Linked DNA regions of Rhinolophus ferrumequinum. The protein of the gene in region 3 purifies or fractionates together with the protein of the main gene of each other region. This does not show direct contact. Links are inferred from orthologs where the notes say so. Each region holds a gene or a part of one and is shown on either strand. Other genes may lie near its edges. The genes, in order: DDX5, RREB1, HDAC2 and BCL11B.

The links.
Region 1: the proteins of HDAC2 (region 3) and DDX5 purify together in Homo sapiens (affinity purification with western blotting; 3 studies listed by BioGRID, with this or other methods). This does not show direct contact. The link is inferred for Rhinolophus ferrumequinum from reciprocal best matches to the Homo sapiens genes HDAC2 and DDX5.
Region 2: the proteins of HDAC2 (region 3) and RREB1 purify together in Homo sapiens (affinity purification with mass spectrometry; 4 studies listed by BioGRID and IntAct, with this or other methods). This does not show direct contact. The link is inferred for Rhinolophus ferrumequinum from reciprocal best matches to the Homo sapiens genes HDAC2 and RREB1.
Region 4: the proteins of HDAC2 (region 3) and BCL11B purify together in Homo sapiens (affinity purification with mass spectrometry; 4 studies listed by BioGRID and IntAct, with this or other methods). This does not show direct contact. The link is inferred for Rhinolophus ferrumequinum from reciprocal best matches to the Homo sapiens genes HDAC2 and BCL11B.

What each region holds. Positions count from the first base shown.
Region 1 is NC_046304.1:42,882,561-42,890,021, reverse strand, and holds the start of DDX5 (probable ATP-dependent RNA helicase DDX5), read left to right. Parts: upstream 1-4,442; 5' UTR 4,443-4,550; intron 4,551-4,742; exon of another isoform or gene 4,743-4,935; intron 4,936-5,185; 5' UTR 5,186-5,320; coding exon 5,321-5,364; intron 5,365-6,589; coding exon 6,590-6,755; intron 6,756-7,112; coding exon 7,113-7,209; intron 7,210-7,300; coding exon 7,301-7,434; intron 7,435-7,461. Other genes in the region: CEP95 (centrosomal protein of 95 kDa), read right to left, coding at 1,130-1,237, 2,608-2,736, 4,262-4,280. UniProt on the Homo sapiens protein: Involved in the alternative regulation of pre-mRNA splicing; its RNA helicase activity is necessary for increasing tau exon 10 inclusion and occurs in a RBM4-dependent manner. Binds to the tau pre-mRNA in the stem-loop region downstream of exon 10.
Region 2 is NC_046292.1:86,823,891-86,830,852, reverse strand, and holds the start of RREB1 (ras-responsive element-binding protein 1), read left to right. Parts: upstream 1-3,956; 5' UTR 3,957-4,048; intron 4,049-6,962.
Region 3 is NC_046286.1:65,450,343-65,458,220, reverse strand, and holds the start of HDAC2 (histone deacetylase 2), read left to right. Parts: upstream 1-4,868; 5' UTR 4,869-5,152; coding exon 5,153-5,204; intron 5,205-7,878. UniProt on the Homo sapiens protein: Histone deacetylase that catalyzes the deacetylation of lysine residues on the N-terminal part of the core histones (H2A, H2B, H3 and H4).
Region 4 is NC_046289.1:4,906,933-4,914,454, forward strand, and holds the start of BCL11B (B-cell lymphoma/leukemia 11B), read left to right. Parts: upstream 1-4,504; 5' UTR 4,505-5,517; coding exon 5,518-5,575; intron 5,576-7,522. UniProt on the Homo sapiens protein: Key regulator of both differentiation and survival of T-lymphocytes during thymocyte development in mammals.

The DNA.
Region 1 (7,461 bases), on a different chromosome or scaffold from region 3:
TACTGTAAGAAGTTCTATAAGCGGACACTACCTTGCCATATAGTATGTTTTAAAAGCACAAATTACCAGAAATTGCCCTACTCTGGTGATAAAGCAATTCTAAATTGCAAAAGAACAGGAAAACCCCACGGTTACCCCTCAAAATGAATCATCTCCAAAATAATTTACTACATTTATTCTCCCAAACTGCACTCAAAAACTTAAGACAGTATTTTTGCAAAAATTTGTTCTTGTCAGTATCAAATTAAGAGATGTAAATAACCTATCCTGATTAACATTTATCTCCTTTAAAGAATAAATCAACAGTATAAACCCTCTTTTAGTGATTTGAGTTTCAAGTTCCCAAGATTCCTTCTGTTCATTAGCTGAAAATAATTTATTTTGGGAAAAGGTTCAAAAAATAATTTGTAGTTTTATTTATATTGAATAGATAATCACGATTCAAAATTTAAAAATTACAAAAGGTATATAATGAAGTCTCATCCCACCCTTGTCCTGCAGCCCTTTACTTCCTCTTATTGGAGGCAACCAGTATTACAGGTTTCTCGTATATGCTTCTAGAGAGTTCTACATGAAATCTATTGCATAAATGTTCTCCCCGCCTTTGCTTTTACAAATAGTAGCATACTCTGCATATTATCATTGTAATTGCACCACATTTTTCTCACACAATATATAATGGTGATTGTCCCACTAATATGGAACATTGTACATAAAGAACATAATCAATCATCTTTTATAGTTGCACAGTAGTTCCCTGGAGCTACCATAATTTATTTAACCTGTCACCACGAATGGACACTTAGATGTTTCTAATTTTTTAGCTACTACAGACAAGTAGCATGGTAGCTTTAAAATAACAAAACAACAATAAAAAACATACCTCCAACTACCAGCTCTAGGACTTTGACTGAGATCCATCATAAACTCAATGTCTGACTCTCCCGGGAAAGCTCTCAAGGATGGCTGCCTTAACTATACATACTCAATCGATTGTCTTGGCTCAGTCTTGCCATTTGGTCTATTTCACAAGCTTACTCATTTGGCTAATTAAATAATGTCCTGGGTTCTGTCTAACAAGTTATTTTTGTAAAATGCAAAATTATCTGGAGATGAAGTATATACCAACCTGTTATGTGAGACAAGCTGACCTGCAGGTAATCCAAGGCCAGTGAATCGATTACTGCTTGTACATTGTGAGCTTCATCCTCTTGACTCTTAGGAATAGCTATGAGGTCTGTGGAGGAAAAGCTCCTTAATTTTGCATCTGTGAGGGTCCAAGTTTTCATCTATCTGTCTCGGACCAGGCTCTTGATAAGTTCAACTGCTACAAAAGTAAGCTCTGCCCAAACAGAACAGTTTTTATAAAGTACAGATAAAGTTAATAGAGCCTGAATTCCACACAGAATCTTTATTGGTTGCATATTTATTGATTGAATATGGTTGAATAAACTTATGAACATGCTCTACATTAAGTAGTACACTAAAGAAGAGAAAGAAGTCCCTAAATTCGGGGCCGGATGGCTCAGTTGGTTAGAGTGAGAGCTCTCCTCTCAACAAGGTTGCCAGTTCAATTCCCACAAGGTGGGCTGTGCCCCCTGCAACTAAAGATTGAAAACGGCAACTGGACTTGGAGCTGAGCTATGTCCTCCACAACTAGACTGAAGGACAACGACTTGTAGTTGATGGGCCCTGGAGAAACACACTGTTCCCCAATATTCCCCAATTTAAAAAAATCCCTAAATTCAAGATGGTAATACGATTGTAAGGGCAGCAATTACTAACCTATAACCGTGGGCTGCTTTCCATGAGAGAAAAACAACAACAGGTGTGAAATGAGGGTTACTGTATGTCCTTTTAAAGGGCCCTATTAAGAATTATTGGCATAGAGGTTTAAAAGATCAGTATAGACCTGAGTGCAGAAGGATTTTTAAATATCAACTTAAATTTTGAGTTCCTCCTCTGGTGTTGAGAAGATGAATGTTTTTTGGGAAGGATGAAAATGTATTTTAAAAGACTGGCCTAATAAGTACTTGTATATACCTCGGGACGCTAAAGAGGGTTGAGACTAGCATCAAAGATACCAGCTAGAGGCTATTCCATTATTCCAGGAAGTGAGGAGGGACTCATGGTAACAGTGGGAAAGGAAGAGAGACTACGTAGAGCTTATTTTGGTACATTTCTTATGTGAAGAAATGAAGGCAGAGAAATCTATGGATAAGGACTCTGAGATATTTAACCAGGGATATAGTACAAACATCAATTCTAATCTGTAATATTGGTTAAGCAACAGGGTTGCACAAGTTCCCAAGTTCCACTCAATTTTAGAACCTTTAGTCACAGAAAACGTGTGACTTTCACAAGGCATCAAACATGATTAAACAGTGACAACCAAGACCCGTCAAACTGATTTGACCAAGGCTGTTACTAGGGGTGGGTCTCATAAAGTATTCATTAAGGCAATGAATGCAATAATTAGATAGAAATAAAATGGAGACAAAGAGAAAACTCAAGATTTTATAAATACCATAGGATCTCACTTAAAGGCACTAGAAACTTCTGGGGTAAGATATAGACATTATTACTCCCACTTTTTCGCACCCTTACCTGGTACCTTTTCTCCCAAAATGGATTGATAAAAAGCAATAAAGACATTAGCATCACAATCTTCTAGTTCATGTATTCTCAGGTGTATGTGACATTTCAAAAGAAGGTTATTGGCAATGGCTACCCACTCTGTTGGGAGAGAAAAGGAAAAGGTCAGCCTTAAATAGCACTAGAAAAAGTCATAATCTGAAAAAACAAACAAAAAAAACCCCCTCACAAAAACAGACATTGAATTTTGTAGAAGATAAGGAATTTGACTTTTATAGGATTTCAAAGATCCTCCTAGGCATGATTTTTGAAAAGATGTATCTAATTAATTACTTGGGATGACTTCCAGACTGCAATAATTTCCGTGCAGTCAAAAATGGAATACAAATCTAATTTTGACTGTCGCAACCTAAAATCTTAAGTTATTTACTGTGGTTCTTATTTTACAAGCCATATGTAGGTGTTTTTATTTATAATATATTTACAGGTAAGTGGGAACGTTGTGTCCCAAACAAGATAATCCGAGGCTACTAGAAACTACTAATGGATGTTGCTTCAAATTCCCAATAGCATTAGTCATGGTTTTACCCAATTATCTTATGCAAACAATTTCTCTGGTGTCCAAATAGGTAGTGATTAACTTAGGCTGTTAAGAACTGGAGTAATGACACCAACACTACTGCACTTGTTAGTTTTTTTGTATTTGACTATATGAAAGGAAATACGGAAAGTTTATTTAAAAGTCCCTAAATCCAGAATTAGCACATTACCGATACTGTGGAAGTTTCCTGTGTACGACCCTCCCCACCCCAGATATCGTTGGAATTAGAAAAATTATTTCAAGAGTTTCTCGACCGAAGGTAATTTAGAAAACTTAGAACGTTTGTTCCCTGAAATGATTGTTGATTAAAGGTAAAGTTCCTTTATTCTGCATTCGATTGTCTTCAGTATGTTCTAGAAATGTGTGACTGTGTGTTCAAGGCACGTTATCTTCCTCTTCCCAGAAAACAATGTGTACGTGTGTGTCTCTTAAAGGCACATCATCTCCCTCTCCCCCATACTCATTTCTCACAGCTGACCAAACCATCACAACTAATCTGAACGCTGTTCTAGAGAAAAGGATGAAAGCGTCCTAGACAACCAAATCAATGCGCTTTTCAAAAGCGAGGCTAGGCAAAGCCGGTAACTCCAGAGGGCACCGAAGACAAAAATCCACTATTTTCCTTTGGTAGGGGCATCAACAGATCTTAAGAGTGCCATTCCTCCAAAGTTCAATACAGATTCCGGTACTACCTCAGTCCCCACAATGCAAGAGTAAAGAGCACTTGAAAGCGGCTAGATACCCCAGAGAAACAGGAGTCCGGGGAAGAAACTTTTTGACTGCCCTTTTTTGCAGCCAGGATGCAAGCATACTACAGGTCTCGCCACAGAGACCTTCTCTCCCCGACCCCCAAAATCGCGCTCGACGGCTTCCAAGCGGACAGCGAAGTGGGCTAAGAGACACTCCAGGTAACCTGTTACTACGACGGAGTGTGTGTCACGAGCCCCGCTGGCAGCCCAGACCTAGCTGAAGCCGGCCTGAAGTCTCAAGATATAATAGGCAGGGGCGTTCGGTGACTTGGCCCGCTTTAGTCCACATATACCGGGATTCCAGGTTGAGACTCACCAGCCTCTGAGCTGGCCATGTCGCGGAAGCAGGTCGCCGCCCGACTCGCAGCTGAGCGCGCGGGGGACGGTGTCCTGAAAGGGCCGCAACAAGCCGATACAGCGCTGAGAGGGGGAACGACAGGAAAGTGCAGGGTAGGAGGAGTGAAAGAGGGAAGGGCGTTAAAACGGCTTCTCGCCACTGATTGGTCATCAGAGGAGCACTTCCTTTCGCAACACGCGCCGAGGCGGCGGTTTGGGGGCTCTAGATACCATTCTCCTCCCGAAAGATCGCGCTAAGCGACTCTCAGGTGGGTGGGTTTGACAGTGCGGGTCACGCAACAGCCGGGGCCGGTCTCCCGGCGGCGTTAGCGCGGCATTAGCGCGGCATTTCCGGTGAGCTTTTCGTTTTGTATTCCTCCGCGGACGCCAACTGAGGAAGTAGTGCGGTCCGCTCACCCGGTGGGCGGGGTCAGCCACGTGACAATGTCAGGGTCCGCCTTCCTGTCTCGTATGGTTCTGGGCGTGAGCGCTGTTTGGAGACGTAAACAACTCCAAGTGGACCGAGTGGGTTGCCCTGTGCTGGCCATTTTATAGCCTGTGCTGGACCTGAAAAGGGCGGGGTAGCTTCCTTGAGGTGTGGAAAGACGAGAAAAAGGTGAAGTCAAAGAGAGTGTAGGCTGAGGCATTCCGGTGGTGAGTGGGCCCAGCCATGGAAAGGGCAAAAAACGGGCGACTCTAAGGGAGGGACAGTGGGGGAGGGGAGAGGACATGGCGGATTCCGGAACGTTTGCGGGCGTTGCGGCCTCTGCGCAGGGGCGGGGTGATTAGGTCATAGAGCGGCTCCCAGCATTCTCTGCGGCGGAGGAGGCGGTCCAGCCTATAAAACCGGCTGCCGGGACGCGGCCGGCACCTCATTCATTTCCATCGGTCTCTTGCGGAGCAGCTCCGGCTCCTGTCATCGCCGTCCTTCCGCCGCTGCCGCCCCCGCAAGGCTTTGCTTGCCGAAGCCACCTCCACAGCGACTCGTCGCACCAGATTCTCTCCACTTCGTTCCCCGCCAACCGCAATCATTGACGCCATGTCGGGCTATTCGAGTGACCGAGACCGCGGTCGGGATCGAGGGTGAGTGGGGGAACTGACCTGTCAGGCCCCACGGGTGGGGGATGGGAGGCCAATGAAAAGAACGAGGGGTGGGTAGCGATGGGAACTTGGCTTTTTCAGCCGTTTTTTGGGCCTCCTCAAGGGAAAGTTTGCGCCATTTTGTTATTTGTCCAAAACTGACGGAAAGATTTTTCTAGAAACGGTCCTCAGTCTCGCTTTTTGTTTGGGAGCGTCGGGGCTTCGGCGATTTAGCAGTTGTGGCGAGAATTGAGTGTGTTGTGAGGGGAGGAAAGCGCGACGCTTCGAGGAGAACGAAGTTGTCGCTGTTGAGTGCAACCTTTTGGGAGGTGTTTTAGGAGTCTCGGGGATTTTTTGGGGAGCCGAGAGGGCCGCTTCGAAAGCCATTGATGCGGCGGGGGCAGGAGGGTGGCCGGCGCCACGGTAATCGGCCATGTGGCTGAGCCGTAGGTACAAAATGCCGGCGTCGGACATGGCGCCGGCGCCTTTGTTACCCCGCCCGGCGGAGGAGCTCAAAATGGCAGCGTCGAGAAAATGTGGCGCAGAGAGAAATGCGAGACAAAGGGGGAAGCGCCGCCCCAGCGGGAACGCCGCCCGGCCGACTCCGCCCGGGCCGGGACTCCTCCCCTGGTAGTCGCCAGCTCCTCCTCCTCTTTTTTTTTTTGCGTTATATAATTTTGTTACCTTGATCGGAAGCCGTTCCGCGGTTCCTCCCTAGTCGATTGGCTTGTATAAGTGTCCCCGAGACCACCACTCTTGCTTGTTCTGCTTTCACTGCCTGTGCTGTCCCGTTATCCATTGAAACCAAAGACCCTTTGCTTGGAAACAGCTGGTAAATAACATCGCTGTTAATAAGCTCCTCCCTTCTTGTATTGTCCTTCTCTCAGACATTTAATTCCTAAGCTCGTGGGAAAGACCGGTAGCCACAAGCTGTTGTCTGTCCTTGTAATCTGAGCTTTTGGTGCTTGGGCAGCCAATTTCCGACCTGATAAATCCTGGGCTGTTTTTTTGGCTTTAATAGCGTGTACTTGGGACAACAGGGAAAAGGAGAAGGGTGCTAATTGTGGTTTGGAGAGAATGATCATCACTAAGGACAGCGCTAGGTCTTATTCCTCCAGAAGTCTTTCATCCATCTTTATTTAGCGTGTGCCAAGGAATAGTAAGTTAGAGTGTATATAAACTCCTACATAGACGTTTGAAAACGTAACTTTCTTTTTTTTAATTGCAGGTTTGGTGCACCTCGATTTGGAGGAAGTAGGGCAGGGCCCCTATCAGGAAAGAAGTTTGGAAACCCTGGGGAGAAATTAGTTAAAAAGAAGTGGAATCTTGATGAGCTGCCAAAATTTGAGAAAAATTTTTATCAAGAACACCCTGATTTGGCCAGGCGCACAGCGGTGAGTAATTTTCTTTGGCTTCATCAGGTTTAACTTAGTGACTTACAGTAAATCAAAATCTGACCAGAAAAGTGTTGGCAAATGACCAAGTTGTGGGAAATCATGCCTTTTTATTAGTTGGGGAAGAGGTGTTACTCACTTTTGGAAATAAATGGCTCTGAATTTTTCTACTTAGCATGGTAGAATATAACACAATAGACATTTTTCTGTGCCATGTAGGGTTTTCATCACATGGATTCAGATTAAAATGGCTATGTTAAAGTACCTAATCAATTATAAGATTAGGGGCTTATTGTTTGCATATTTAGTTGGAGGAGGTTGTCATAAGACTTAACCAGATTATTATTTGTTTTGTAGCAAGAGGTAGAGACATACAGAAGAAGCAAGGAAGTTACAGTTAGAGGTCACAACTGCCCAAAGCCAGTTCTGAATTTTTATGAAGCAAACTTTCCTGGTAAGTACTAGTTTTGAGTTTTGTCCTTTTTAAAAAAAATTCCCTTTTCTTGGCCTTACTGATTTTTCTAAATGTGTGTTGATAATCATAGCAAACGTCATGGATGTGATTGCCAGACAGAACTTCACTGAACCCACTGCTATTCAAGCTCAGGGATGGCCAGTTGCTCTAAGTGGATTGGACATGGTTGGAGTGGCACAGACTGGATCTGGGAAAACATTGTCTGTAAGTTTGGAAGAACTTTTGAGATCC
Region 2 (6,962 bases), on a different chromosome or scaffold from region 3:
CTTTTAAGGATAGTGGCTGTTTTTAAGGAACTCACATAGCTGAAATGCCCTTGCAGTTCCTCTTAGAAATATTTCTTTAAGTAAGTGCTTAGTCACGGGGCATTTTATCACAGCTTTTACAATCACTCTAGGCCTTTATTAAGATGGGCCCACACACTTTATAACAGGAGAAACAGACTCGGCTGAGGCTATTTCTCACTATCTCTTACTGTAAGGCAGCACTTTACAATGCAAAGAGTTGGGAGTCAGGAAACCTTGATGCTAATCTTAATTCGGTCCTTACATAACTGTGTAACCTTAAGCAAATCCATTTTCTTCTCTGTCTCAATTTCTAGGCCTGAAAAATAAGTGGGTTAGCCTACGTAATCTCTAAATTTCTTTCTGACTCTTAAGATTCAACATGTTTGATGTTATGTTCAGTTGTTTCAAACACTGTATCTATCTACATGATGTTATTTGTAAAGATGAGAGCATATCTATTATAGAAGAGAGCAAGGTATCTGAAATCCTAAAATGTGTTAAATCCTGACTCTAATTCTCCTGGGTAAGTCATTAACATTTCTAAGCCTCAATGTCATACTATATTACAATTATTTATCTTACTTATCCATCTCTCCTAACAGATGTAACTTCTGCAGAGGGGTATTTTCTCATATTCATCTATCATCTATGATAAAGTCTCATGTCCTGCCTGGAACCTGGTAGGTACTTGATACACACTTACGAGGACGGACAATTAAATTCACAAACTCATCCTAGAAAAAGTGCTACATACCTCAATGCTGAATATCACTACGGTCACCTTCAAAGTACTCTCCTTGGAAAGCTATGCACCGAGGCCAATGCCTAGTCCACCCTTCAAAGTAATTTTGGAACTCTTTTTCTGGAATGGCCATCAGAGCCATATTACCCTTGATGTCCTGAATGTCATCAAAATGTCTTCCTTTCAATATTTCCTTTATATTTGAGTAAAGAAAGAAGTCATTGGGGTCCAGATCAGGTGAGTAGGGAGAGGTATTTGATTAAGTAAATGCAGTTATTTGATTATGGCTAAAAACTCCCTCACAGACAGTGCAGTGAGAGCCAGCGCATTTTTGTGGTGCAAGAGCCATGAATTGTTGGCGAAAAGTTCAGGTCGTCTAACTTTTTCACGCAGCCTTTTCAGCACTTCCAAACAGTAATTTTGGTTAAGTGTTTGTCCAGTTGGTACAAATTCATAGTGCATAATCCCTCTGATATCAAAAAAGGTTAGCAACATCGTTGCAACAAGTTTGTAAACTTAATTGTCAGACCTCATATATAAACAAATGGATGGGTAAGCAAGCTGAGAGTCAGAATGATTGTTCCATCTACTTTGTAAGATTATTATATGGTGAAATGAGCTCACACCTGAAAATGCATCTTTTATATTAAAAACATTAAATGTTATTATTTGTGTTTGAAACATTCCAAGTAGAAGATTGTATTCACTCATAAAAATCTGATCTTGCCTCTAACCTTTGCTAAGGGCTGAATAACATGCATTTTTTTCTTTCCTATGCTAAATTTCATCCTATTTGGAAATTTTTATATGCTTCTTTCTCTTTTTTTCTAATTAAAAGTATACTTCTATGCACTCACCATTTTTTATTTTTTCATAACAATCTTTTGGAGGGATTTTTTGGAGTAACTGGTTGATAGCTTAATGCCAGTCTTATTTAAACAAGGCATTTTTATTAACTTCTACAAATCAAACTAATGCAGGAGGTAGTGTAACAGCAACTGTATATATCAGACACATGAATTTTCTGATGACTTGTATGTTCACTGGAACCAGTTCCCTAAAGATGATCCAGATTCAGTTTCTACTGTAGCCGAATATGAACAGTTTTTTCTGCCTTTGGATAGTTCCCCAAATGATCTCTTTTTTTGTAATGACACTAAATCTAGTTTATCATTTAATGACTCCTAGTTATACTCAAGTACAATTTGAAAGTGAACATTTCCCTTAACTGTGTTCAAATCTGGCACAAGCCCTACAGCATTTCCTGAAAGGAATACCAGTCCTAAGCAATGGTGCTCACAAAAACTGGTGACTGGACAAATACATTTAGGAAAGTTTGCATGTTACAACCTTTTGTCGGTGATTCACAAACACCTTAGCACACAGAAGATTCAGAAAGGCCTTGCTATAAAGCTATATATTGCATTTTTGTGTCTGTGGTATAACAAATAAATTCTTTAACTCAGCATTTCTCAAACTTCCTTATTGTATGTACCACTAAGGAAAAAAAACCACTGCCAATAGGGCTTAATGCTAAGACGCCATCAAATATGACATCAGGGATGTTAAAACTCAAAAATAAGTGCATCTTGGAATCAATGAAATGTGGTATATGACCGCAAAGTCCCCCACCCCCCTTTTATTTTTCAAACATCATCCCTGGACATACAGAGGATCTAGTGTTCTCTGGAACACTCTAGAAAACAGTGCTCTGGTCTAGAGCTATCACAATTATTTCAGAGAGACAGAGTAAAGGCTTTTTTTTCCTATTAAGAAGTAAAAGAACTAAAAAGTTTGAATTAAAAAGAGAAGAGAAGAAATACTGGTCACCCGTTTGGGGTGTGAAATAGACCTTGTTCAGTTAGAAACTAATTTCCAGGTCCACATCAGAATTTAACTGACCAGTTGGGTTCAGTGAGCATGTAAATCTCTTTAAATTAAGATGGCATGTAATTAAATTATTCAGCCGGTTGGCACGCAGGTAGTTCACTTTCACTTGAAGTAACCGCTTTGCCTCTAAGAGGCCTCACACCCCGAAGTGACTCAACTTCATAACATCGCCTTTCAAATCTCTAGCACTTTACAAGCAATAGGCTTGGGCGTAAAGCGTCAGTAACCCTACAGTGAGTCAGATGACGTTTGTGAGTGTTGGGGGGAATTGGGAGGATTAGTAAATCTGTTTACAGGGAAAGGGTGCTGTGGACGGCCAGGCTCTTCAGGCTCCCTATGCATGGGTACACAGCCCGGCCCAAATCTGCCCAATTACATCCTCTCCATCTTGACAATCCGACTCCTGAGGGGGTGTGGGCATGACTTAGGGACAGCGTGCACCACCCCAGGCTGCCCCAGGTTCCCTATCTTCCCCCGCACGCCCAAGTTTAGCCCCTCAGACGCTTCTGAAAATCTGAACTGGATGTATCCACCTTTTTGGACGCTGGATCTGGGGGTTCCCCCAAGCTCTCCGGTCTGACGGGACCGGCCAGGGCCTCGCGCCGTCCTTCGTGCCGGGAACAAACAGCCAATGACCCCCGGAGGGCCAAATCACCTTCGCACTCGCCTTTGCCCACCACCTCGCAGCCCTCTTCCCTGCCCCGGGGCTGGTCTCCCCCGCCGGCCTTCCGCCGGACTAGGGCCTGGCTCTCCAGGCGGCGCCCCCCTTCCCTGGCCCGGAGGGGGCTACGGGGCGGCAGGAAAAACTTGGGCGAGCTCGGCCGCGCTTCCCAGGACGCTGCATCCGCCGCCGAGATGCTGGCAGCCTGCGGACGGCCTCCCGCGGCCCTCTCCTTATTTATCCACCCCGCACAGTTTCCATGGCTCCGCCGCCATCCTCCGCCCCCTTCCTCACGCCCAGCCCCTCCGGGTGGGGGCCGCGGGGGGCGTGCGCGGCTCGGGAACCGCGCGGCGTTTCTAAGCTTGGGGCGCGTGGAGGCGCACCCCCCGTTTTCCCCCTGGGCAGCTGTGCCACTCCTGCAGCCCCAGCCCAGCCCAGCCCCCTCATACTCGCCAGTACCCCGGTCTGTCCCCTGCGGGGCCCGGCGCCGGGGCCCCCAGGCGCAGCAGCGCAGCCCCCGGCCCGGCGGCGCGGGGGAGGGGCGCGGCGCAGGCAAAGTTGCTGAGTTGCTCTGCACGCTCAGAAGTTGCAGCTGAGACGACAGCTTCCCGCCCCCTTCCTGGACTCGGCGGCTCGGAACACACACCCACCCGTCACCACCCGCTACCTGCCCTCGCCCCTGCGGCCCCCGCCTGACTCGGCAGCCTCCCTCCCGGCGTCCGTGAGGAGCCCAGGTTTCCAGCGGAGGCGGGCTGGGGGCGGGAGCACCCCACCTCCCCGCTCTGCCGGGTGGGGGCGGCGATGGAGGGCGTGGAGGATCCCTTCCACCCAGTTGCCGCGCGGCCGTGGCGCTTTTGCACTTTGCAAAGCTGAACGTCTGGGCAGGTTTCGCCCGCCGGCCTCCGCGCCCTCCGGGAGGAAAGCGGGGTGTGCAGAACGCGACGGGAACTCGGCGGTGTTCCTAACCCCTCCGGCAGGGGGCTTAGCCAGGGGCGGCGGGAGGGGCTCCGCCGGGGGCTGAGGTCGCCAACAGGTGCTCGCGAGCCCACGTGACCAGGGAGGGGCCGCGCAGGGGAAGCCGGGGATGGTGGCGGGGGCCGGTTGTCTCTGGGTCCCCGGCAGAGCCCGACGGTGGGAGCACCGGCCCGCGGCAGTCTGGGGACTACTGGCGGGTGGCAGTTTCTAGCGCCGGAGCCCTCGCGGCCTGCCCAGGAGGAGAAGGAAGAGGAGGGGGAGGGAGGGGATGCGAAAGTGGGTCAGGAATGTAACTGGACGCTACGCACCCCCCACGCACCCCCTCCACCCCGGTTGCGGGCCGACGCGGCCAGAGCCAGCCTTGGAAAGCGAGTCTCTGCTGTTGTGGTTCCCCAGCTTTATCGGTGGACGGTTACCAGGGAATCCCGAGGGATGTTTCCCTGTGACCCTTTGGGAAGAAAAACTTAGTTGCCTCAGTAACCGAGTTTGGCTTGGATGCAATGATACAGTGAATGTTCTAGGTGAGGCTGACTGAGAGGAGGCTGCAGTTGCACTAGGGAGTGGATTAACTTCTTATTACTGAACCAAACGTGAAAGGAAGGCCGGTGAGGAGGTAGTTTTTTGCCCTGTTTCGTGTTCGTTTTTTACTGGTCCAGAGAACATAAACGTTTTTGCGTTAGAGTTCAAGTCTCCCAAATGCAGGCCCAGGCTGCCATAAATTTACCAGAGTTCTTAACAAACGCAAACTTGGTTGATACAAAGGTTTGAAGTTGGTATCCTAAGAGTTAGAAGGAGCAGGGCACAGTGACAGTTTTGTAATTTGGAAACTGCCTGAGAAACAAACATGAAAAGGCCTCTATTAAAAGAAGAAGAGGAAAAAAAACCCACCAAAAACCCCAATCCTCCTCAAAGCAGAAGAAGTGACAGCAGGCCAGTCAGTTCCCCCCTGAGCACAGTGGCACTTCACACCCAAACATGGGATTGAAACAGGGAGGGATCCAGATTTAAAAGTGATGGGCTTTGGGTTTGAATGCTGGTGACACAAGCAGAGTCAAGGAAAAAATAATAAAAGATGAGACTGCAGAGAGAAAGCTGAATCGTGTTGAGTTTGCAGCCCAAACTCTTCTTGAGCACTTTTCCTGAATTTTGTCCCATTGTTCCTCCTGTTGGTTTTGTCCAGTGGACTTTAGTCACAGAGTGCAGGACCAGGCTGTGGATGCAAGGCCCAAAGAAGCATGAAGCCTAAAATAGAAACTTGTGTAGCTGCTGGAGTTTCATTCAGAAGCAAAAAGGGTGTGTTACCCTCTAAAAAGTGTGAGATCTTAAGAATTATCTGAAAAGCTGACTTTGGAATTAATGTAAATTTCTGTTTCCAAGGCAACCCTAAATAAAGAAATCTAAACTGAGATGTATTTTGCATTAAAGAGTATATTTTCATAGGAAGCAAAAACTAGTAAGTTGAATCTTTATAAATTGAATCATGTTCTAAATATGTAAAAGATTATTTTGTTGAAATAATCTTTTGGATTAAGTGAAAATTTATGGAGATCTAACCATCCTCAGTTTGCTTTTATTTCTTAAACTTCACTGGGTTGTCTCATTAGTAGAATGAGAATAATAATCATAATAATAGTTGGTCTTCTTTGGGGTGATAGACTGGACTTTTTACATTACTTTCTAGATACAGGATCTTCAGTTCAACCGGCAAAAGCCATTATTTTCACTTATGATGTTTGCCTAAACTGTGGAAAAACTATAGTTGAAAGCTGACAAATTCCATACATTGAATAGTCTTGCATTCTGAATGAAAATGGCAGGGTTATACAAAAGTTTTCTGGAAGTTTGAAAAAAAAGAACATGTTCATGATCTTAGATTTTGTCACTCTGTTAAGGAACATGATTTCCTTCTTTGTGAGATAATTAGGCTTTAGAGTCTTGGTTCAAACCAGAAGAGTTGCTATAGAAATGAATTGAAAATTTAAGTTAAAAATGAAGTGGCACACTTCCCTTTTCCTCCCATCCCTTCTTCCCAACCCCAAATTTCATCTGAATTCATGAAACATTTATATAGAGGGTGATTTTATTTATAGATCATATTTATAAAGCAAATTAAATTAAGGAATTAATATCTATTTAAAAAGGATTAACAATAGGGTCCTTAATATTGTGAAGTATTCTATATTTAAAACATTTGTTACATAAATTTTTGGGCACTTTTCAAGAAATCGTCTATGTATCAGGTTTTCACATAGATTATTTTGGACAGTGCTCATTTGTAACCATTTACTCACTGCCACCCCCAAAATATTTTCATGAATGAACATATGCTTTATCTTAGCCACCTACTTTGTGTACAGAATTGTGTTCAGCACTCTGGAGATTACAGAGAAGCATATTCATGTTACTAAAAGAGTCGAGTCTAATATGGTTTAGTTGGGGACAAAACCTAGATGACGTTTAAGTTTAACTGTTCAGAAGTTAAATAGAAACACCAGTAAAAAATAAAAATGTGCATATATGTGTAAGAAGAGATGATGCATTCGTAGATGAAGATTACAATGAGTTGAAAAAGTGGAATAATGAGAGATTAAAAAAATTGTTTTCGTCTATTTATTCTCTAAGATGTTAACAATGAACCTGTATTGCTTCTGTGGAAGAATCAAAGTTTGCTTA
Region 3 (7,878 bases):
TCTGAGTACGCAGGTTAGCAGTGTCTCCAACATGGTGAAGAAGTCTCCTCACTTGGAGGAAAGTTACAACCAGTACACTGTGCAGGTATCTGCCTATAAACCTATTTCATGGTATTTAGCCTGCAAATCCCTCACAAATTCCTCCTCATTAACAGTTAATAAAGTGGAGGGTCACTTAATTTCCAGTTAACCATACAATCTGGTCGATGTGCTTGCTACGAATTTTCATTAACTTGCCTCAAATTCAGTAACTTGGTTGATAAGGCCCTCATCCTTACTTTTTCAGAAAGCTCAGTCCCTCTCAACATGCTAGTCTCATGAACAAAAACTGTCAAGAAATAGGAAGGGGCTGAGATTTTACCCTATGTGCAAGCTAACAAGCTAGCCAGCCACAGTTTCATAGTTGCTAGCATAAGGCACAAGACTCCTGGGTTAAAGACAAAGGATAATTTGTCACTCATGGCAATAGCAGTGACCAGAGTATCAGTATTATCTTTTGTGCTGCTGCCTTGAGTCCCAATTCCTGCAGGCTAAGAGGAAGAGGGTCAGATGAAATCCATACTTGCAATGGATTGCCTAACAGGAGAGGAACCCTGAATTTAGGGAACCTGAATCTTTTATTATGGGTGGCATGCATGCCTGCCCTTTGTTTCACAGGGAGTCATTTTCTCTATCTTCCAAAGCTGTTCACTATACAAACATCTTTGATCAGATTGTTTGGAACAAAAGACATAAAGTACTTCTGCTCTCAGGAAATTCAGAAACCCATGGAGAGTTGTGTCCCAACAGACACCTGTAGTCTCTTAGTAAACATTATCAGAAGCCACTAACTTCTAATTCAGATCTTACAGAAGTTAGGATTGTATTCAGCTGCATATAACAAAATCCTGACTGTAGTGGTTTAACCAAATGTACTGTCTGTTTTGGTTTGTTTGTTTGTTTCCTGAATAAAACCAGAAGTCCAGAGGTGGGCAGTCAGGTTTGGTACAGATATAAAGGAGGTCTTCAAGGAACATGCTCCCTATCCTCCTGTTCCACCATTCCTGTTATTTGGCATTCCTGTTGATGGCCCCAACATACTCCACCTCCATTTGCACAGTTCTGGTGCTCAGTGGAGAGGAGTGATTACTAGATTTAGTAATCACTAAATTTAAAAAATTTTTTTTAGTAAGGAAAGTTTAAAAATTGAGATAGGAAAGAAGTATTAAGATACATATATAGGATGATTAGGAAACACCAGTAAGTTAAGTTTTCCCAGACACAGTGTGCGTATAGAATTTTACTAAAAAGTGGGTACACGGAGATGGATTGAATCAAAGTAATACTACAAGGGTCACGGGCAAAGCATTTATCAATTAACAAGCTAACCAGGGCAACTTGAAAAGTTCAATGTAAATGAGTAATTTAGTAGATGAGCTGTGATTCAAAAATATTTTTTAACGAAAATGGGTGATTTTTATTACACAAATGCAGTTAAAATAGCACTAGAATCTTCACAGTTTGGTGCTACTATCCAGATTTAGGAGTTACAGCTTGTAATAAATACTGCGCAAAAATAGGCACAATTCTTCTGAGATCAGAATTCAGCTCAAGGCTGTTGTAGTTTGTGACAACACTGTACTGTTAGCTACTACACTTCTCTACATTATGTATTGCCTTGTGGAATTGCTAAATAGAACTTAACACCAAGAAATCTAAATTTCTTTAGAGTAGAAAGAAGCTTATAATTCTTTTATAGCAACTAAAACTTGACCTATCTGCTGCAGTTGATAGCAGGGTTTAATTTTTCGCGTAAGCTGAGACAATCCGTTTCTAAATACAGTCATGCACCCCATAACAATGTTTTGGTCAACGAAGGACCACATATATGACGGTAGTCCCGTAAGATTATATGGAGCAGAGAAATTCCTATTGCCTAGTGATGTTGTAGTGCAATGCATTACTCATGCGTTTGTAGTGAGGCTGCTGTCAACACACCTACCGCATTGCCAGTCACATCAAAGTATAGCACATACAACTACCTAGTCCCTAATCCTTGTTAATGATGATGATGAATGACTGTTACTTGTTTTTGTGTTTACTTGTGTACTTTTAATCATTATTTTAGAGTGTACTCTTTCTACTTATTAAAAAATTTTCTATAAAACAATATGCCAAGTTATGCTGGCAGCAGCTTTCATACATCTCATGTTTACCGCGTCTCTTGATTGCATCATTTCTCTTGTGCTTGATTTAATCTCCTGTCGTTTTCTACAATAACATGCTGTACAGGCTTGTATCCTAGGAGCAATAGGCTATACCATGGAGCCTAGGTGTGTGGTAGGCCATACCATCCAGGTTTGTGTAAGTGTACGCTAGGATGTTCCCACACCACGGAATTGCCTAATGGCTCATGTCTCAGACCCTATCCCCATTGCTAAGTGGTACATGACTATAGTCCTATTTCTAAATAATCCATTTATGTTTAACGGATCATTTCACTGAATAACCTCAGAAAAACTAAACATCTTCAAGGTTGGGAAAATAAGTTCATATGGACAGAGCAAGAACTAAAGAAAAAAAGTTTAAGAATAAAGACAATCCTCAATTATGCATTTTATGAATGGACCACGCTATCACTTTGTTTTCTTCTGTATATTGTCTAAAACTCCCTTTTTTTTAAATGGTAAAAATGTTTAAGAGAGAAGAGTTTGAAAATGGTAAATGAAGTTCGGAGCTTGTCAATAGGTTCAATAACTGATTCTACTTTTGATGACCTAAAGGTCATTATAGATGTTTAGGGACATAATGCTTGTGGCCTGCTCTTATCACTGGATTAAACTCCTCCAATGCCAGCTTCCAATGGTAAAATGCTTCTTTTGATTTAAAATTATTAAATAATAAACAATATAATAAGTTCCTCAACCAATCAAAATATGTGTCCAGGTTCTTCTCACAAGTAAAAGGTTAGGTGCTGTGGATGCAAACAATAATTATTACTACCATTATTATTAGTAATCATAATAATCTCATATTCATAGCTCTTTATTTCTTAAAACTATTCCATATTTATTTTCTTATTTAAACTATTCAATATGTATAAAATAAACCATTCTCCAAGTAATACTGCCCTATTTTACAAGTAAGGCAATTCAGAAAAAAAAGTTTAAGTAACTTGCCCCCAGTCATAGACACTAGAGATACAATTCTGTGCAAGACAGACATGTTTCCTCCTCTCCTGAAACTCTAGTCTAATGAGAACATTAAGAGAAGTTTTGGGCAACTATAACATGGTAAATGTTGAAGTAGAGGGGTACAAGTCACAACTACAATGTTAGGGGCACAGAAAACAGACTTGGGGGAAGGAGTAAAGTCAGCTCCCTGACTCAGCTTCACTTTCTTCACTTTCTTGAGTGAAGTCTCATTTCAGACTTCACTAAGTTGATTCTGAGAAGAACATTAGTTTCTACTAAATTAACCTATTCTATTCTTAGAATCTACCAAGCTGATTTGGGACTTGATACAATAGCAAAACTTTAAAAGTCAATACCATGCAATTAACTCTACTACCTCTAAGCTGATGTTTCTCACACTGTGCTTCCGGTACCAACTGCATCAGTTACCTGCGATGTGCTGTTTAAAATACAGAATTGCGGGGAGGGGAGGAGGATTACGGTAGATTTCGTTTCCTAAATGTCTTCAGGGTGAGGTCCAGGAAAACTGCTGTTTTAATGTGACCACGTTGGGGATTTTGAAGTCAAATAGTAAAATAAAGGGGTATCTTGGGTGGTGGCTCCAAATGGTTCCCACTTCAATAAGGCCTTTTTTCTTTTAATGAGGGTGTTGGAGAGAGTGTGCATTTGGAGAAAATTGTAAATGATATAGTTGGGATAAGAGTGCTTACATGGCAGACTGTCAGACCCCCACTCCTTATCTGAAAGGTGGTTGGCTTAGAGTAGCTGCTTGATAAATGTTGACTTGTTGAACACAGGGACACAGATATTCATAACTTTTCCAATCTTTTCTCTTAGCTTTCTGCCTCAGACTTCCAGTGCCCAGCCAGCAGCACTATAGTGGAGTAGCTAAAGTATGTGGATTTGGGAGAAAAACTGAATTCAAACCCCAGATCATCAACAGTTGAGACCACCAAGTTCCTCAATCCGTACGTATAAAGGAATAGAAATATGTCTCTGCGTTGTTGCAAGTCTCAAATGACTTAACAGGTTATTTATTATAAATAGGAATCAATTAAATACATTATAAATGCAATGGTTAGACCCGAGCCTAACACATAAGCGAGTTCCATAAATGCTCCTTCAAACCCAGGAAGTACACTATACTCCTTGACGTCTGTGATACGTAGGTTCCCTTAACAGGTCAGAACCTCAGTGCAATTATTGGTACAAAAAAAAAAAAACCACAAATAATAAATGAACAAAAAGAAAACCGAGGTGACCCAGTACAGAAGGGCCGTGGGGGACAGACTGGAGGGTCGTGGATTCCGGAAGGGTACCAAAGTGGTCTCTCCCCGCCTGGCTTACAGCACGTGGTCGGTAAGGGCGGGAGCTTCGCGACAGTGGGGGATGGGAGCGGCAAGAGACAACTCGAAAGGGGTCTGGGCGGCCAAGGCTTCGGTTGGGGAGGCGCCGACTGCGCAGGCTCAGGATAGGCGCAACCACTGTGCGAAGATCTGAAGGAGGGAGCGTTCCCCCACTCCAAGTTCCTTTTATCTACTTGAGCGAAACCCTTCCCTTTTTTTTCACTTTACAACTGTATTTTCCACCACCCTCTGAAAGTTGTTCACCAACAGAAGGGCTTTTATCCAAAGACTGAAGAGCGTTCTTTCCCTAGTTTTGCCCCTTCCTCCCCGCCGCGGAAGACAACAGTGGACACGTCCCACCTCCCCTCCGCGTCCGGAGGTGGTTTGACTTACCCCTCCCCCTCCCCAGTGTCGCGAGTTGGCGCCGCTGCCACCCCTGCTCCGCGCTTTCGGCCCTTCGGCCGGGCGGTACCGAGCCCTCGTGGCGCCCCCTTGTCTCCTCCCTCCGGCCTGCCCTTCCCCGCGGGACTGCCAGCCCCCACCTTCGCCCCAGTCCTTTTTTTCTCCCCGCCGAGTCGCGGCGGCAGCAGCAGGAGGAGCCGGAGCCCGGAGGCGGCGGTGGCCGGGGAGCCCATGGCGTACAGTCAGGGAGGCGGCAAGAAGAAAGTCTGCTACTACTACGATGGTGAGAGGCCGGGCCGGCGGGAGGGTGGGCGGGCAGGGCTGGGGCGCCAGGCCTGGAACCACGCCGGGCTCTCAGGCCGCCGTCGCGAGTGGGCGCCAGTGCTGAGGGGTGGGAAGGAGGAGGGACCGATGTTTGGCCGCATCTTAACCCGTTGCCGACCCGACGCTGTTAGTGGGAGCCCCTCCGCCGCTAGCGGCCCCGGGGGACTCCGCGGCGGTAGCCAGGTGGACGCCCCACTTTTACCTCCTGCCCCTCTCTTCAGCAGTGCAGTCCGCCGCCTCTGCGTCGGCCTACCCCAGCTTCATGGTGGTAGCGACGGGGACCGCCCTCCCTGGCGTCTCTCACTCCCGCCACTCTTGGGAGAGGACATTAGGGGGTGTCCTGCTTCGGCCTCCTGCACCCGACCCCTCCCCCCAGGTCGAAATATCTACCCCGGCCCAGGCTCCACACAAAGCCCGGCGGCCGCGAGAGCTCCGCCTCTTCAGTCCCCTGTGCTTCCCACCCCCATCCGCGCTGCTTTCTACCTCCCGCAGCCCCCCCGAGTCTGCTAGTCCTCGTGCCTTCTGCGTCCTCCGCCTCCAGCCTCACCCCGGACCCCTCGATCCGGGTCAGTGCTGCAAAGTAGTTACTGAGGGTGGTGGCCCACGTCCGGGTGAGGACACCCACTGGTGTTTTGCATGGGCTCCATCCCTCTCCTTTGTTCGCCGGGTTCTTTGAGCGCCACTTTCTCAGCATTCAAATGAAAAGGCTTCACTTCCTCAATAAAAATTAGGGTTTTCGAGTTTGAGGCAGTCTACGCGGGAAATACGACGTTGGTAGGGAAAGGTGGAGTTGTTTCTGCTTGTTTTGTTGATCAGACTCGATGGGTCTTGGCTTGCCTCTGAGAGGTGGTTACCACCCACTTCTTTGTTACTCTTTGTTCGATCAGGAAATACCACCCTGCTTTGGAGGTTTAGGAGAGCATTGGCATCTTGCTTGTGAAAACTGTTTCTAGGTGGTGGCAGTCCTGGTGTAGGAAAACTTTGAATAGTGCAGAAGTTCTAAATAATCAGGTAAGCTTGAGCTCACGTTACATATAGTAAGTAATAAAAGTCATTTTAATTTTAGGGGTGTTTTTAATTTGGAGTTGGAACAGTAACATTAAATCTCTGAATCCTGTTTCCTGAGCCAGCCTAAATGAGACTAAATCGAGTAGTCGCCTGTTCTACAGATTTCAAAAAGACATTAATATGGTAAAATGGTTATTAGTAGGTTACTCTCCAGAGAAGGAATTCTAAAATTTAACAAAGCTAGGCTTCACGACCTGAAAGTCCTGTCTAATTTGTCTGAAGCAGTACAAAATTTGGAAGCTGTTTCTTACTTATAGGTGTATTATAAATTACAACATCTTAGGTGGAAAGACCTTAGGGGACTGAGTCAGAATAAATTTGACTTTAATTTGAAAACGGCCATACTATATCAGTTCAGTTAGCAAGGATGAATCTTTTAATGCCTGTTTTTTAAATAAAATAACCACCTGTATCATTTACGGAAAAATGTAAAATCTTAACAGAAGAAATCCAAATTATCTGACTTTTTGGAAGCCAGTCCAAAATAGTAACAGCCATGTTTTAAAAATATTTTTTGAGAGGACCCCATTTATGTGTAATACAGATTGGTTTGAAATTATGCCATCGTGGAGGAGTGGAAAATGGGATTACATTTTAACATTATTAAAGTTTCTTATAATTCATTCTTTAATACTTCATGCATATTTTGGGTCACTTGTAAAACACTGGTCTTTGAATTCCTTCATCAAATTGGAAAGTAAATAACCAGGTATGTAAGTTAATTTTTAAAACTTGTTTCAAAGATTTAAAGATTGGTTCTTGTTGGAGCTTGGGGTAAAAGAGAAAGTTATAAAAAGGTTGGGGTAACTAGTGCTAAGACTCTTCCTGAAGCTGTTAGTTGCTGTTGACTCTGATAGGCTCTGATGAAGTAAGCTGTTTGTAACTTCTTGTCACCAAACTTGAACTGTAGAAAGAGGTACACTTAAGTAGCAGTTAAGTGTACAGCTGCCCATTTTTGGACACATTTATGATGAGCCTTTGTTGAGGGAATGGGAGCAAGCACTGGTCCCAAGGGCAGGATGCAGGATTGATAGGTAGAGTGGAAATAATTCAAGCCTGGTGATTGTGACTTAATACTTTATTGTAGACCATTCAACTGCTTTACTTGATGGCCAACAACAGGTGTATAACTGAATGTTTGGAAATTAATGATTAGGTTTACTGTCTTTAGTCTATGGTTCTTCCTTGGCTCATTTGTAGAATGGAATTTGCAGTTGCTTATATTTGGAATATTTGGGTTGCTGGGAGGACTAATAAAATATTTTGCAGAGATTATTAAATTGAATAGGCATCATGCTAATTATTAATATGTGATAGTATGCTAAGCTCTGCACATTTAATTACGAAAGTTTACATTTTTATTACCAAAACAACTATTTTGTCAACTTATGTATAAAAGTAGCAGTAATGGTATCTTTCTTTTTTTAATTGTGAAGAAAGAGGATGCAAGTAAAGCAGCTTCTGCACCAGAGAATTCTGTGACTCGAAGGTATATAACATGAATTAGATTGGGAGTGCGTAGTATCAGTAGTAATAGGGCCCAAATAATTTGCTAGGCTAAATTA
Region 4 (7,522 bases), on a different chromosome or scaffold from region 3:
CAGAGCTAGGAACATTCAATGTGGGTGTGAGTCTTTTTCATATACGAAGAGCTGGGTGAAGCATTTTTTTAAGGAAAATAATACATGAATCAGGAACAGTGACTTTGGTTTAACCCCTTGCAGGCTGCAGCTGTAAAGGCAGGAGGCAATGGTGCCTCTTAGATTTCCTAGGACGTACCTATGCTTTATGTAGTTAAAAAATACTCGGAAATCTATGACCGTATAAAACCCAAGTATTTCTTGCAGAAATAAGGTACAAATGATGACGTGTTTTAACAGAAGCAATGTTGCAAAATTCAGTACCTGGAAAGAATCAACCAAGCAATTGTTGGGAGGCAGGTTTTGTGGTCCTACCTTTGCTATGAGATAACAGTGCAGAAAAGCCCCTCCAGATCCAGCAAAGCCTTAATAGAGTGCTTCTGGCACTTAGAAATTTGCTGTAATTTTCAGAAATGACATCAAATAATTCTAGAAGATATGCCAGGAAGCCCTAAAGACCTCTTTTGTCTTTTTATGCTTCTGGATTTGATAGCTCCTAGAGATTCTAGAACTGTAAGGAAGGAGTTAAGAGCCATCTTGGGGGCCTTATTAATGTGTACACAAATAGGATTTACTTAGTGCCTCCATTTCAGTTTCCTCAAAAGTTAAAACAAGTCAATCCACTGATCAGATCGATGCAGTTTATTTATCCTTCTCTTCTCAGTCAATAGCGTTTATAGATCCCGAGGAACAGAAATTAGCAGTTTGCTTCTGAGTCGGCCCCACACCTGTAAATGCCAAAAGATTCGCGTTCTCTTTGCACAGCTTTTCTGCAGAAACATTGGGGGTTCCCATTTCAACTGACACTACCCATCTCAATTCTTTCCAAATTTTTGTAAAGACATAATATAAAATATAACAGCTCAGAAGGCAAAGATACCATTACAGAATCTGGTACAGAGCCCTACCTCAGCTAAGAGTTAAGTTATCCGTTGGTTCAAAGAATTTTAAACAAGAAGCCTGGCTGGGGGGTCATGTGTCTGTATCATCTGCCCCCACTGCATGGTGTGTTATATGTAGCACACATAGGGAAGCAGAGCCCCACACGTTAATAAAAATGCATCCTGATTTGATGCATTTCTGAACTATTCTTCTACAAAGAAATTTAAAGTGATTGAGAATATGGGGGATTATGTGCTGGAGTGCAAGGTGAAGCTAGAAAAAGAAGAGCAGGGAAATATTTGTGAGTTCAAAAAGCTTTTTGACATCTTTTTTTTTTTTCAATAGTACAGAAAATGTAGCATTTCTTTCCATCTAATTTCAGTTTGCACAAAGCCCCAGCTCGGGGCCCAGCACACAGTAGGCCTACAGCAGGTGCTGGAGAAGTAAGTGTGAAGTTGTGTAATATTTAGGACCATATGTTCATCTGCACTTTTTCCTTTATGTATTCACATGTTAAGCACCTGCACCTCCCCTTCCCCTTTTTGGCCAACGGAGTGACTTTTATTCTAAACAAAGGATTGGTAGTTCAAGGGGTGGTGTGTGTGTGTGTGTGTGTGTGTGTGTGTGTGTGTGTGTGTCCAGAGTGACCTTCTCAGAAGGGACTGGATCCTCTGTCTGCCTGGGGTCTTGAGGAAGGGGTAGGGATCCGGCTGTGGCCCGAGCCCTGCCACCCCTTCTGGCCCGCCGCCTGTTCTCTGGGCATTAAGAGAGTGGAGAAATTTTAGTGTGGGCCAGCTGCCGAGGCCGGGAGGGGTCGAGGGAGAGGTCAAGGTCGGAGGAGAGGCGGCTATTGATCCGGTTTGGAACGCGAGACTGGGAGCGCAGCAAGACTAAAGGGGGAGCTGTGAGACCAGACATTAACAGCTTTCAGCGCTAATGACGCCCGCGCCAGACGGGCAGAGGGAAAAAAGGGAGACTGGAGCGGCAGCTGGGATCGCTCGCTGCCTGCTCCCGGCCGCCTCCCGGGAGAGAAGGAGGAGGCGGAGGGCGAAGGGGCCAGTGCTGGGCTGGGCAGGGCCAGAGCCGCCTCTCCCCGGCCGCCGCGAGATGGAGCGCGCTGGCAGGCGGTGGCGTGTCCGGCCCTGCGCCGGCCCGCCCGCGCGTCCCTCTTCCCGCCGTCGGGGCAGTGTGGGGCCAATGAGGAAGTGCTCCGCGGTCAGTCGCGGCCCGCGCCGCCCCCTGCCCGCTACTTCCTGCCGGGGGTGGGGCGGAGGTGCCCCCCTCCCCAGACCTCACCGCCTGAGCGCGCGGGAGGTGGCAGCTGCAGCCCGGCCCCTGAGCATTCTGCGCAGTCTGCTGAGAGTCCCCTTACCTGAGGGGGTTGCCCCATTACCTCCAGCCCAGACCGGGTCCTCTTTCATTGTAATCAGCCCTCGTTGGGCAAGGGTCGAGGGTCGGGATTTCGCGCGCGGGGGCGCAAGGGGCGCGGGCAGCAGGCGTGTGGAGGCGATTTGAGTCGAAAGCTACCCCAAGGGCTGTGTGACCTTGGGCAAAACGCTAAACCGTTCTGGACTTCACAACGCCAAGTCTCAGAAAGAGCTGCTTTCCCAAATTTAAGAATCTGCGCGACTCGGGATGACTGGTTTATAGTTTTCTTAAGAAGTTTATTAAAGGTGCGTGTGGGCATTTTTTCTTAGGCCACTTTCCTGGAAAGATTTTAGCGGTGGGGCGGGATGGGAGGAGAGGGAGGTGCTTCTAGACTTTGGACCACGTGGAGATAGGGTGAGAGTTGGGGCGGTGGGCAGCTGCGGGCAGTCCCCAGGGAATCAGATCCCTGATTCTCCTGGGGTGGAGAGTGCCGACTGGCCCTACCCCACCCCGCTCCACAGCCCAGTCTCCACCCGCTCGGCCCGCGACCCTGCAGCCTATCCGCAAAACTACATGCTAGGGCACATTTTATTATTATTTTTGGGGGTGGTTTGGACAGGGAGCTCTTTCTGTCCTCACTAATGGGCGCTGCGCTCTGTTAAGTTGTTGGTCCCGTTGCCACACCCAAGACCTTGGGGTTGAACAAAAACCCCGTGTGCCCCCGAAGGAAAAGGCCCCGAGAGAGGTGGCGCGCCCTGAGGCGTCACGGCCCAGCCCCTCGCTCGGATGAAGCCAAGGGAGCTGGGCCTGGGGGCGGGGTGGGGTGGATGCAGCTAAGCTCGCCCGCCAAGCCCAGCCCCGAGCCAGGCCCCGACCCGCCCTGGCCGCCTTCAGGCCCAGACCAGAGAAACCCTGAGAAGGGAGAGCGCTCTAGCTGCTTGGCGCGCCCAGCCGGGGAGGTCAGGTCTTCAAATAGACGAAGTTGGCCGTGGACTGGGGAGGGATCCGGCTGGGAGGGGCGATGTCCACGCGGACCACGACTTGGCCTTGTCCCTGGGCCACGGACAGGCCCCCCCAACTCCACTTGTCCTCGCCGGGTGCAGAACAAACGGCTGACAAGGCAGCTGTGTCCTTTCCAGTCAGACCGGCGATTTCAAGTCCTACCCTAGGCAGAGGAGCACTGGGTGGGTGTGTGGAGGGGAGGGCAGGGGGAGGCGTTACTACCAGGTTGCTGTAATTGTGGGGGTGGGAGGTAACAGGGGCACCCGAGTATCTTCAGAGATCCGGCCACACCTACTTCTGGGTCAGCACGTACAAGTTCCTCTCCCACATGGAGAGCCCCTGCCCCGGTACCCCAATGCTCCCCGCAGACCCTGGCCTTAGGGGGTGGGGCCCGTGTTTGACTCTCCAAGTAGTTAAAGGGGTGAGGTGGAGGGAGCGCATTCGAGTGAAGACTCCTCCGGAATGAGACTCAAACAAGGTCCACGTTCCTCCCCCCAAATGTGATCTTAATATTCTCCTCTTAGTATCTTTATTTAATGTTGTCCACTTCGCTTTCCCAGAGTTTGTAATGCCAGGATTTATACAGAGACACTTTTTGGAAGTTTAACCCTGATCCCCCAATAAAACAAAAAGTACAAACAACCAAGTGACTTTTCCTGGGTGATGAAGCAAGTGACCATCTCCCCCGGTCCCTGCGTCCACTCCAACCCTCTTGCACAGCGTCCCCCTGACTCCAGCCCCCCAAGTCCCACAGCTTTTGGTGGGTGGCTGGGAGTTACTGGCGTTGATTCAACTTACTTCCACACACAATGTACTCCGCCCCCCTTCTCAGGGGGTCCTGCTCCCAGGAGGGGAGGAGGGACAAGAGAATTTTCTTTTATTGAAAAATATCCTGCCCACCGGCTCCCCCGCCCCCCTTTTGCGCTGCCCGTGCACGAGGAGTAGATGAGTGCACAAAAACGCCGTTTGCAAGTGTGGCCGGCCTGATCTGCGGGTGTGCGCACGGGCGAGTGTGTGTGTGTGTGTGTGTGTGTGCGCGCGCGCGCAAGCGCCGCGCGCGAGCGTGTGTGTGTGTGTGTGTGTGTGTGTGTGCTTTCTTGTTCTCTTACAGGGTACAATGTTAAAAAGCCACCGCTAGTCGCCCCCAGTGCTCCGACTCTCTGGGTCTTTTTGTCTCTGGTGCAGATTAAACGTCACGTCCGCACTTGAACTTGAATTTTATCCCATTGTACAGAGGCAGCCCCAGCCATAGAGAGACCGAGAGCTCCCAGAGAACCCGGACTCCGCCATCTTCACGTTGCAATCTATAGCTCCCAGTCCGCGCCCGCACCGACCCAGGCGCACTGGGCTAGCCGCCCCTCAGCCCACCTCCCCCCGGGCCCGCGGCGCCAGGGGAGCGCTGGGGAGCGCTCGCGGGGACCCGGCAGCCTCTCCGGCCGGCGCCAGCCTGCCAGGTGAACTGGGAAGGAGCCGCTCCTGGAGTCCCCCCAGAGCCTCGGAAGGGTCAGTCTCCGAGAAAAAAACAGGCAGCCCGCAGAAAACCCAGAAACAACCGAATCCGGGCAGTTTTACATTGCTTTGGGTTTTTTGAGGGGGCGGGGTGAGGGGGGTACGAGACAAGTCCCCAAGTTTTCTTTGCTTTTTTTTTTTTTCTTTTTCTTCTCTTATTTTTTATTTGTTTGCATTTTTCTTTCCCCCACCCCCCTCCTGGTAGAAGTGCGCTTTCCACCTACCAGACCCTGAAAGTGTCAGGAGCCGGTGCAAAATCCGGTTTAAGTTCAAGAAGACATTTGGAAGTCCAGGAGGCCACGCAGTTTGAAGAAGTGCAAAGGATTTTTTGCTTTCAAAAGAATATATATTTTTTAAAGAAACCAGCCAGTCCGCGGCAAGCAACAGCAGATTTTTTTTGCCTCTTTTTCCTATTTTAGATCGAGAGGTTTTTATTTTCTTTTTCTTTTTGCAAAACAAAACAAAAAACAGCATAGAAGAAAGAGCAAAATAAAGAAGAAGAGGAGGAAGAGAGGGCAAGAGAGGAAGGGGGAAAAAAAAGAAAAAAAACCAAAACACCAACCCGGGCAGAGGAGGCACGGCGGCGGCAGCAGCGGCAGCGGCGCGGCGGCGGCGGCGGCGGCGGCGGCGGCGGCGGCGGCGGCGGCTCCGACCCCCACCCCAGGCTCCCCCCATCAGAGCAGCTTTCCGGGCGATGCCAGAATAGATGCCGGGGCAATGTCCCGCCGCAAACAGGGCAACCCGCAGCACTTGTCCCAGAGGGAGCTCATCACCCGTAAGTGTCTGCGGCGTAAGCGCGAGGGGCCGGAGGATGGGGCTCCGGGCGCCCGGGGCTGGGGACACCGAGCCGGGCTCAGCTGGGCCGGGTGCCGGGGCGGCCCGCGGGCTCCAGAGGCAGTGCGTCGGCCCAGAGCCTTGTGGGGGGCGGGGGGCCATAGGAAAGTTTCTTTGCAGCCCCGGGAGTCCGGGCGCTGCGCAGTCAGACGCGCCTCCGGCTCGGGGGCCTGCGGAGCGGGTGCCGGGCGGGAGAGGGGGCGCGCAGGCTGGAGGAGGTGTGTGTGTGCGCGCGGAGCCCGGCTGGACGCTCGCCCCTCCGAGCGGCGTGTGTGGCGGCGGCGGCGCTGGTGGCGGGGTTTGGAGAGGAGGGGGAGGGGGCTGGGGGAGCGGAGGGGGAGGGGGCAGCCGGGAAGTGGGGAAAAGTTGGCGAGCGCGTGGGTCCGTGCTGAAGGCTCGGGCGGAGGAGAGCGGGGTGCGCTGTGGAATGCGGGAGATATGGGGAAACGGGCGGCCGCCGGCTCCGAGTCCCCGGTAGCTGCACCCGGCGGGGCAGAGCGCCGGCCACACCGGTCCTAGGCTTCTGCAGCCGCCTTTCTCTCCCTTCCTCTATTTGCAAAAGAATCCAGCTGCAAGGCCGTTTGCCGGGCTCATGCACCCCCCCGCATTTCCCCACCTCCGCTGTCTCCTGGGATGATCCTGTCTTCTTTCCCCCACTCCAAAAAAGGTGGGGGTTTGGGGGCTGGTGAAAAATACCCGCCACGGGGGAACAAGGGTTGTCAGCCAGGAGTGGGAAGAGAGGGATGTGCTTGTAAAACAGTAGTAAAAAAAAAAAAAAAAAAAAAAAAGAAAGAAAAGAAAAAAAGAAAAAAAAAAGAAAAGGAGAGAGACCTATCAATCTTTTACGCATCCTTCTGTCTCAGTATCTTTCATCTTCTCTATCTAAATAAACAAGGCAGGTCGAAGTGGAAATCCACCGGCTGGGCTGGAATCTTGTGGATTTCAAGCCAGTGGCGGGGCGTGCAGTCAGGCAGCAGGGCAGAGACGCAGCAGCTTCCAGCGCCCCAATTGGGTTTATTTAGAGAAGGGAGAAAGAGAGCGTAAGCAGGCCAGGTACGGGGTGTGCAGGGGAGCTCGCCCCGGGTGCCCGCATAGTTGCACCGGGAAGGTCGGCTCGCAGCTCTCCCTGCCGGGCCGGCGGCTGCTTCGCCGCGCTCGAGCATTTCCCCGCGGTCCTTTCTCTTGCGGTGTCTGGGTCGCCGCTGCTATTTTTTTTATTTTTATTTTATTTTATTTTATCTTATTTTATTTTACTTTATCTTATTTTATTTTATTTTATTGCAATAGAAATAAAGCATCCTCTGGGTGCCATCGAGACCGCGGTGCAGGTTGTGTTCCTGCAATCCTCCCATCACCTAGTCAGGCTGGGGCCGGGCTGCCCGCGCGGAGCTGGAGAGGGCTGCGCACCCGGTCGCCGCAGAGGACTGGCTGCGGGGCAGCCGAGAGCCGAATATTTATGTTATATTTTTAAAAATTTAAATAAATAAATAAATATATAAAAGGGTTCTCCCCTCCCCTGAAAACCCGCCTAGGAGCCATCTGCTCGGAGCAGTTGCTGCTGCCATCTCTCCTTTGTTACAGCAGATACATTAGTAAGAATTTGTGGATTTATTATTATTTTTTGGGAAGGGGAATAGATATTAAGTGGGGTTCACCTTGGGAGAGGGATGCCTTTTTGGAGGGAGGGAAGAGGACTTCTTTTTTATTTTTCACCATTCTAACATGAAAGAGGACTCGCTGGTTGCATTTAAAACAAAATGTTTTGCAACCAGATTTGAGCCTGGTTTGATCAAGGTTCTTCTTTTTGCCAGTTGACATTTGTCCTTTACCAATAATCGCTTATTCCAATCCCATCCCCACCTTTAGATAGTGCAGTGGTGGTTATACT